Drosophila melanogaster: one gene and its partner. Changing the gene in region 2 together with the main gene of any one other region gives a genetic interaction. Each region holds a gene or a part of one and is shown on either strand. Other genes may lie near its edges.

The links. A genetic interaction does not mean that the proteins touch.
Region 1: of app (region 2) and Dlish, changing one enhances a phenotype caused by changing the other (phenotypic enhancement), as found in Drosophila melanogaster (one study listed by BioGRID).

Annotation. Positions count from the first base shown.
Region 1 is NT_033778.4:17,721,504-17,725,565, reverse strand, and holds Dlish (dachs ligand with SH3s), read right to left. Parts: upstream 2,258-4,062; 5' UTR 2,127-2,257; coding exon 2,081-2,126; intron 1,795-2,080; coding exon 1,671-1,794; intron 1,611-1,670; coding exon 713-1,610; 3' UTR 510-712; downstream 1-509. Other genes in the region: Snx16 (sorting nexin 16), read left to right, coding at 1-64, 124-184; CG10934 (uncharacterized protein), read right to left, coding at 2,564-3,148. UniProt on the Drosophila melanogaster protein: Required for the apical cell cortex localization, total cellular level and full activity of dachs.
Region 2 is NT_037436.4:12,263,782-12,268,743, forward strand, and holds the start of app (approximated), read right to left. Parts: upstream 3,061-4,962; 5' UTR 2,874-3,060; intron 1,966-2,873; exon of another isoform or gene 1,811-1,965; intron 1,130-1,810; 5' UTR 840-1,129; intron 1-839. Other genes in the region: CG32100 (uncharacterized protein), read left to right, coding at 3,849-3,869, 3,977-4,962. UniProt on the Drosophila melanogaster protein: Palmitoylates Dlish which is required for the apical cell cortex localization, total cellular level and full activity of dachs.

The DNA of each region.
Region 1 (4,062 bases), on a different chromosome or scaffold from region 2:
TCAGTTTGCAGCAGAAACTGCGCGAGGAGATGAACGAGAAGGAGCAGCTGAGAGAAGCTATGAAGTAGGATAACAATTTCTTTTACAAATGCAAAAATCTCATTAGCCAATCTCTCTCTACAGAAATATGGAGCTTAATTGCTCGCACTGCTCCTCAGCTAGCGACAGTTTGGGAATAAAGTAGACCTTCGCCAATCGGAGGTGATAACCAAAATCCAGTTGGACGTGCGTGTGCGTACAACATTATGCTGAGCATAACTCTACGCAACTGCGCCGCTTGGATGCAAATCCAATACAATAATACAAACCAAGTGCATATCGAGGGGTTGGCCCCTACAGTGCTTTAGTATTCATATCTAGACCTAGATGCTAGCAAAGTGCTGCCCACGCTGGTACTATATGGAATACGATAGTAGATATTTTTGATATTCGTTTACGAGGCACTTACAGTTAAGAATGAAATCACTAGACTAAGTGTATACGATATGTTATGCAAACTCACATACAAAATAAATCTAAGGCACAATTTATTACTCAATGAAAATGGCATTTATGAGTTGAAAATTAATTTAGTGTTCAAGATAAAAATATCCAAGCCACAAAGAAACGCTTTTCGAAATGCAATTCGACTGTGTTTGGAAGACTTACGAATATTACGCTTTAGTGTTAGTCGAAGTGATAATTAAAACGATTATGGTATTGAATCTATTTCTTAAAGGCTGGTCATCGCGGGTGGTCGGGCATAGGCTTTCGGGATGAATCCATATTTGCGGGTTTTCGGAGCATAAGCCCAAAGCCAGCCATCAACAGTCTGATTGGTTAAGTCTGCGTAAATCCAATCTCCTCTCCGCACAGAAAGGTACAGATCGTCTGGAGCTTGCGCTTTGTAATCATACAGCATCACCAGCTCCGTGCCATGGTAGCGTAGATCATCTGTTCCCAAGCCCAATTGAGGCTGCTGCTGTTGCTGGCTCTGCTGACCTTGTTGACCCTGCTGCAAAATGGTCTCCATGGCATTTAAAGTGGCTTTCTGTTGCTGCAAAACTCGTACACTGTCTGCAGGATAAATAAAGCTGGCTGGCACAAATCCTTCCTGGCCATCACTGCGCATTATCCAAAACCAATCGGGATCCTCGCGATTTAGCACGGTAACAAATTCACCCCGTTCCACAGACAAATCATTCTCGTCCCTGGCTATAAAGGTGTACAAGACGATACAGCGCCCGGAGGGTTCCTTCACGAAAGGAGTACACTCTGGCTCCACCAGCAGGGTGTTCTCTATGCTGTTGGCGGAGCCAGGATTCAAGGTTTCATCGCAAAGAACATCCAGCTTGTTATCCGTGCCCAAAAGTGGTATATTCTCTTCGATCGGCTGCTCTGGACACTGTTCCCTTGGCAGTTTCTTCTTAACAGCCAAATCCGCCAGTTGCGTGTTGCAGGGAGCACAATAAGAGAAGGGTATGAAACCCTCCTGCCTAGAGTCCTGACCAATCACGTAGACCCAATCGTTCTCTCTGTACAAGATATTAACCAGCTGTCCACGCTTCACCTCTAGTTCATCATCCACGCAAGGAGTAAAGTCGTGCAGCACAACCATCTTGGAATCAGGACTAAAATAGAATTAATATTGTACAGACTATTTAAACTGATAATGGATGGGATCGACTTACCTTAGACCGTGTTCCTTTTCAATGCCCACTCTTACAAGTGTTTCAATGCTGGAGGAACCAGTTATGCGGCCCATGCCCAATACACCCACAGCTGGTAAGTCCCTCTCAATGCTGGCATTTGTAGCTGAAAAGGGAGTATTTTGAAAATGCTTATTTAGGTACAATATATGTCGTATTTAATTAAATTTAAAATAAAATGTATATCTTATGCATTCAATCATAATATAGTTTCAAGAAAAAAAACTTGAATACAAATATTTAATTCAAAAAGAATTCTTGTACATTGATATACAAAATAAATGCACCAATAAACAGATTTAAACAATTTCAATTTTTTTAAGTTCCTACAACAAGTTCGTGATTGAAGTCTTTTGTTTCCGTGCTGCTTCTTCCGCTTTCTATGAACACACCTTTCTTCTTGTCGCGCCTCATGCGCACGGGGCAAAGAAATGCCATCTCTTCCCCCCACTCGGAATTAAACCCCCTTCAACCGAAAAACAACAAAATTTCGGCTAATTGCTTAATTTCTTTATTGTTTAGATCCGACACAACGCTCTTCTTCTTCTCAATATTCTCTGGTGTTAGAGGTGGAATTCATACGATTGGCTGATCTTGATGATGTTGTCCGTTAATCGATTGTCGCGAGGCGCCAAAATTTGAAAATAAGTTGGTTTTGTGTGTACGTGTTGGCTCTGCTCTTTCAAGCATGCAAATTTCTAGTAAAGCGTAAACTGCTCTTGAGCAGCACCTTCGATTTGGGTGCAATGCACCCGGGCCGCCGTTTACCTTGATAATTTATTACGCGTGTTTTGTGGGCTAATTCAATGATCGAAAGCATAGAAAAACTGTGTTTAGATTGGGCGATTTGATTGATCCAGTTTCTGCGACAGCTTCTATTTTTTGCGACCACGCACGGTGCTCTTCTTGGGTGTTGATCGCTGGTTGCTCTTTCGGGTAGGACGCCGCGGACCATCGCCTAAGTTCTCATCTGTCTCATAGTATCTGTACGTCCGGCGATTTGGTAGGGCGTAGTCCAGGGCATGAGTGACCATTATCGCCTTGTAGGTGCACGCCACGGACATGATAAGCTGCCCCAAATAGTAGACATCTTGGCGCAAAAACATAAAGACTTTTGGATAGGCTTCAAAAAGGTACATGCCGGTACGAGTATTAACTGCATTGTCCCGCAGTTTATTCATATGGCTGAGCAACTGGAGCCACACAAGCACCACGACCTGGGTGCACATATAGAAGACCAACAGTTCCAGCAGCAAAAGCCAAAGCTTCTGCAGCGGTGCGCAATTCATTACCCTCAGATGATGGAGAAAAAGCACGGCGGTCAGGACGAACAGCGCCGACGGAAGATCGGGAATATGCTCCATGGGCAGCACATTGCATCCGGCGATGTATAGACACACGCATCCCACGCTGCCAGCCACCAGCTCCGTGACTTCGTACATTCCCTGTACAACCACCATTTTAGTCGTATACAAAATGTGAACGAATGATAGATTTGAGTTAGCTCCAGGCGCTATGAATTGTGTTTGGAAGGTGTTACTTTACTAGATAGTAATGGCTGTATATCCAAAGTCTACTGAGCTCTATTTAAAACTTTATATTGTATTATAGTGATGTAACTAAAAGTCCAAATATATGTGAATTTTGTAATGTAATAGAACATAATAGGTTAGAGATATCTGGATTTTTTAAGCAATACTTTTAGTAGTATAAACATAATATATACATTTAATTCAGAGTGCATTTAAAACCCTCTGCCCCACTGAGACCTCGTCATTCTTAGCGAGCGTCACTTGCGCTATTGGACAGCATTGAAAAAAGAGGGGCCAATGCACTATTTTGGTGCCAAGGATAAAACTTTCGCATGCAATTTTCGATTATAATTCAGCGAGAGAATTTCGATGGAAAGGGCAAGGAAACAAAGAGTCTCAGCAAGAGAGGATGGGTCCAAAGAGAGAAAGTGTCCAAACTGACCTACACTTCGTCGTATCCCCATGTGCACATACCCCAAACTAAATTGCGCATTAAGCATCTCGAACATTATCCCACCAGCAGCAGTGGCGTGGCAGCATCAGCAGCAGGTGCCACACCCCCAAAAGACCCCCTTCAACTTGACTTTTGACTACTACGCAGTTGATTCCACATCCGCATCACATCATCCATCCCACAGCCCACATCGCACATCCCAGAAACCCATCCCCATGCCCTATCCCAAGTTTTATTAGAGAGAGCTGTCTGCGTTGGGCTTTAATCGATAGAGAGGATTCTGCGCAGTCCTCCACTCCTCGGATGCCATTCACAAAAAGGGGCGGCCAGTGGGCGGGGCAGGAGGTGGTTGGGTGGGCGAATCGAGTGGGTGCTCCTCGCCCAGCAC
Region 2 (4,962 bases):
ATATGCATTAATTATCGACGGCAACAAAGATGCAAAATTAACGTAAATCAACCGAATATTGCAATTTTCGCAACAGAAATCGAATGATAAATAAAAAAAAATTAAGAGTTAAATGCTTGCTGAGCTCATTATTTGCGAAATGGAATTTATTAACGACTTTTATTTGCTCGAGCATTAACAAATAAATACTGTGGATACATCATTTATTAATTTACATAATTAATGCCTTACTTATAAGTACATAGAACTCTCCCTTGAACCTAAAAAATAATGTTCAATGTCTAGAAAAGTTAAGTAAGTTATCTGACATGGCAATCTTGATTCGATAAGAAGTGAAACATATATAAAAACTGAGTATTAATAAAGTTCGAGATTGATAGCAACATTGATAGTAAATCAGCATTCACGATGTTTAGGCAAGTTTTCAAAATTTTCATGAAGAAAGCTGATGTGAAAATGTTGAAGTCCTATAAAAATTAGCCTATTGATATTACCAGGCAAATAATTGCGTAGTTCATTTGATGTATTTGCTTTAGTTAGTATGTAGAAAATGTTTAGCGTCTCCATTCAAGTTGCTTTGTGTGTGTACTTAGCCCACTTGTATTGAACTTACTCATCGCACAATGTCGACAATATCGCAAGTATTTCACACAATTTCACACGATTCGCAGACAGATAGTGGTATAGTGGTAAATATACAAATATAGAGGGAGTTACGAGTAACTCTCAATGGGGCAGCAAATACAAGTGGGAGGCATTTCGAAATACTCCAAAATAAGTGGGGCCAGGGTCAGGGGTGTAGTATGTAATATATATATATATATCTGAATAAAACTCACCTCGCTGCAGATTGTGTACTTAATTTAGGCGATGAGTTGCCAGCAGCAGAAACAGAAACATTGACCTCGGAACACTTTTCGACATTCGCCTTCGATGATGATTAAGTACTCGAATGCTTTTCGATTACACGCGTTAATTTCACGAAAATATAGTTTAATGGACTTCTTTTTACAGATTTTCGGTTAAAATAGTTGTGGATTATACAGTTTTTAAAATAATATACAGTAGATATTGGTTTGTCTTCATTTGGTTGTCGAGTTTACTTTGTAGTTAAGGTGTTATAACTGTGCTGTTTTCAATGTTGGAATATTTAATATTTTCAATGCTAGTTTTATATTTAATTAATAAGTCAATTTTGCGGATATTTGCTGTACATTAAAATATACATATTTCATATTTATATATTACATGTTTACTTGCGCATTTTATTGCTTTCCCTAAACAGGTAAAAATTCCAGGAAAATAAACAATTTTTGGTGGCTCAGTTGTGGATGTTTATAGACTTGATTTCAATAATCGCATATTTACACTTCTGAATTTTCGTTTCTGATAAATATTTACGCGATATCTTGAAATCGCCGAAAGTGTAACAACATTTCGACGACCTACAAATCCGGGTGAAATAAAAATGATTCAATTTAGTGGGTTAGTCGCAGCGACTAAATGAAAAGCACCCCGCGATTGAGGTGTAAAATGAGGTAATTTCGAATTTAAAAACCCGGAGACCAGGTAAAAAAAAGTAAAAAAAAAAAAAAAACAAAACAAAACAGGTTTTTAGCGATGATAACAAGATGGAACTAAAAAAAAGGGGAGAGAAAAGGGAAAAACCGGAAAGCTAGACGCGATAAAAAAAATGCTAGTCAAGAAAGCGAAAAGCAGCAACTAACTGTATTCCTATAGAGCATATTTTTAAGGAAATCAACCCAAGCACATGTGGTTTTAAAGGCGACAAACAAACAAACATACGTACACAACCACATGCATCATCTGTTTGTAAAATATTCAATGGAATCCAGTCACGACCCGCCGACGCAAAGACAATTTGCAAAGACAGTCTCGCAATCGCAAAGGCAGAACGACGGCAAATGCAGCGGAAACACAATCGAAAGAGCAATAAAAACTATGCCGACACAAAACCAATTAAATATAGTTGCAGTTAATTAATTATAAACCGTTTGGCGAAACGAAAATAAAACACTGGTGGGCATTATTGATATTTTTAAATTTTTTGGCGTCACTGACACAATTCGCGCTCTCTCGCTCTCTTTTATTTGCCTTTTCTTTTGTTGCTTTGCATGTGTGTTGTGTTTCCCTTGATTTTTTTTTATTGTTTTGTCTTGTTTGTTGCTTCTTTTTATGCTTCTCTCTCTTTGGCAGGAAGAACGAGAAACAAACTCAAAATTCTCTGAATATTTCTTTCATTCGGATTTTTTGTGCTGAGCTGCTGAGCAAAGAAAAAACAACAACAACAAACGCCAACGCGCCTTCTCACACAAGCACAATCAGACTCGCACACACATGCACAGTTCAAATTAGTTGGGGCAACAACAATAAGCGATGACTATTGTTATTTAAACACGGCTGCTTTTTTCTCTCTGCTCATCGCTGCAAAAGCCACGCGACAATTGTTATGTTTCAACTGCATTTGGGGAAATAATACTTTAAGAACGGTACATAAAAAAACATTTAAATCAGCACAGTTTCGCGAAGCAAAGGCAATTACAAAACCAAACACTTGAGGGCGCCGCGACGTGTGGAAAAGAGACGGCAGAGCCAAAGACAAAGACAGCTGAGAAATACGTGGAAGCGGTGATTTTCGATTTGTTTTGCTTTTGCTTTTGAACGTCAATTCTTCAATCTATATTTTTACACACAACAATATTTTAAAAACGTTTATATTAATAGTTGTTTTTGAACACATTTAGCGCCAAAATCTCTTCATATTTTCCCGGCGATTTATCGGATTTACCGATGTATTTTCAACACAAGTGCGAATCTTTTATTTTTTTTATAGGATAACCAAAATAATTTACCAATGTTTTTCGTCTTTAAATATTTGAACTTTTAGGGAAACAGCGTGCGCATTCAGCGCTCTCCCGAATTTAATTGAAATGCGCGCCTCCGGTGCGAAAATTGGAGTGAACCCGACGCAAAGTTGAAATGAAAACAAACTGACGACGGTGTGTCCGAATTTCGGGTGTGTTAAAACACTTCTGCAATGCTAACAGAGCTCTGTAATGTGGATTGTTCTACTGTTGCCATACGGTCACACACTTTTAAGCCGCTCAAGTGCTTGTGACACCACTACATTTGATATATAAATTAATATGCTTCTAAAGAGCTTAATTAATCATAAACTAGTTCATCTCTGGAATTTTGTGCTTATTGTTTGCCCTAACAATTCAGACTTTTGAAATCTTAAAACCCAATTCCTTCCATTGTACTGGACTCCACAATGTAGTGTCGTAGCGGTATAAGTATGATCTCTCTGTTAAGCGCAGCAACAAGGTGGCAGCGCTTGCACTTCCGCTAACGTTAAAAGTTTGAACAACCCGGCAAAATATTTTAAATAATTTAAATAAATAAATAATAATTAAATAATTTAATAAATAAAACACAAAGCCTTTCATCAATTTTAAAGAGCTGCCTATATTATTTTGCTAGATTTTGCTTGTGCTTTTGTAGTAAAACAGAAAGATCGTTAATGAGGAATATGAAAGTGTTTTTACTAAATACAACTTTACCAGAATCTTTGGCATAAAGCCAAAATAATACTTAATATGAAATATGTTCTTATCAAACTTGCAAATTCAATTTTCCCGCCAAATGTAAAGTGTGACCAGTTACAAGTACCAGTCCTTGTGAGCCTCTGGTTTTTTATTAGCTAAAAGCGGCGGGCACTCCGCAACTCAGCTGATCGATCAAACAAAAAATATTGATACACAGGAATTTATGAAAAAAAATGCGCAGCGTTTAGAAAGGAGAAAGTATTTAGTAGCACGCACGAAATGGACAAGAATCTGGATGAGGTTTGTGTTTGTACTCTCCTTTTTTTATATTCAGCCCCCTAAAACCGAATGGACTGTGTGTTTTGACTGCTGTTTACTGATACACGCCCCAATTTTTCATCGCCCAGGTCAAAGACACCGTACAAAAGAAGTTCAATGAAATCCGTGCTGCGTTGCATATGCGCGAGAAGTTGCTGCTCCGGCAACTGGAGGTCATAGCGAACACGCGACAGCAGCAGCAGCTGCTGAAGAAGTCGCCCACCGAAATGGAGAACTCGAACTCGGTTGGCAAGAAAGATCAAAGTGGTGTGCGTTTCATTCCCGGGGAAAGCGAGGATGCGGAGGAGAAACTACTGACAGCCATCCGAAGCTACGGACACTTTCTGCTGGACAACAGTGATATGCAGTTGGCGCTGCAGGATTACCGCACCACGGGTTTGAGGAACGAGGACTACATAGAGCCACTAGATGACCACGAGACCATGTACAAGTGCCTGCAGGATGGGCAAGTATCGTATCTCGATCTGGACGAAGACGGTGCCCCACCAGAGGCCATTGTGGTCGACTTCTCTCGCAACAGAAGTCTCGTCGAAGATAATGCCAAGCGCTCCATTATCAACATTACACTGCAGGAGGCAAAGGATCTGATAAAAAAGGCCAAGATCAAGAGGGATACATATGTGCCGCCCTTAAACTTGGAGGAGCTGGATGACGAGTTGGAATCTTCGATTGCCGAAGCCGTTTCCAGCTTGGGGCGAGAAACCTCTGCCAAATCAAAGAGCAGCGTACAAGAACCACCGAAATGCAAGGGTCGCAAACAGCGCTTCAAGCCAAAAATCACAATCAACAATTGCAATGGCACGATCAATCTGCGCAACATAGCCAGCCTGACCATCAACTGCGCCAGCGAAGAGGCGGTGAGTGCAGAGATGCCCCTGGCCAAGTCCGCCGATTCCAGTACCACCGAACCCTCGAACTCCACGCCCACCACCACCGCCTCCAGTTCCAATTACTCCAGTAATGCCAGCTCCCGTTCGCAGTCCAAAAAGCAAAAGGCGAACAAAAAGCTGGACAAGATAGAGCGTGAACCCAGCTCGGATTCCACTCCTACGCC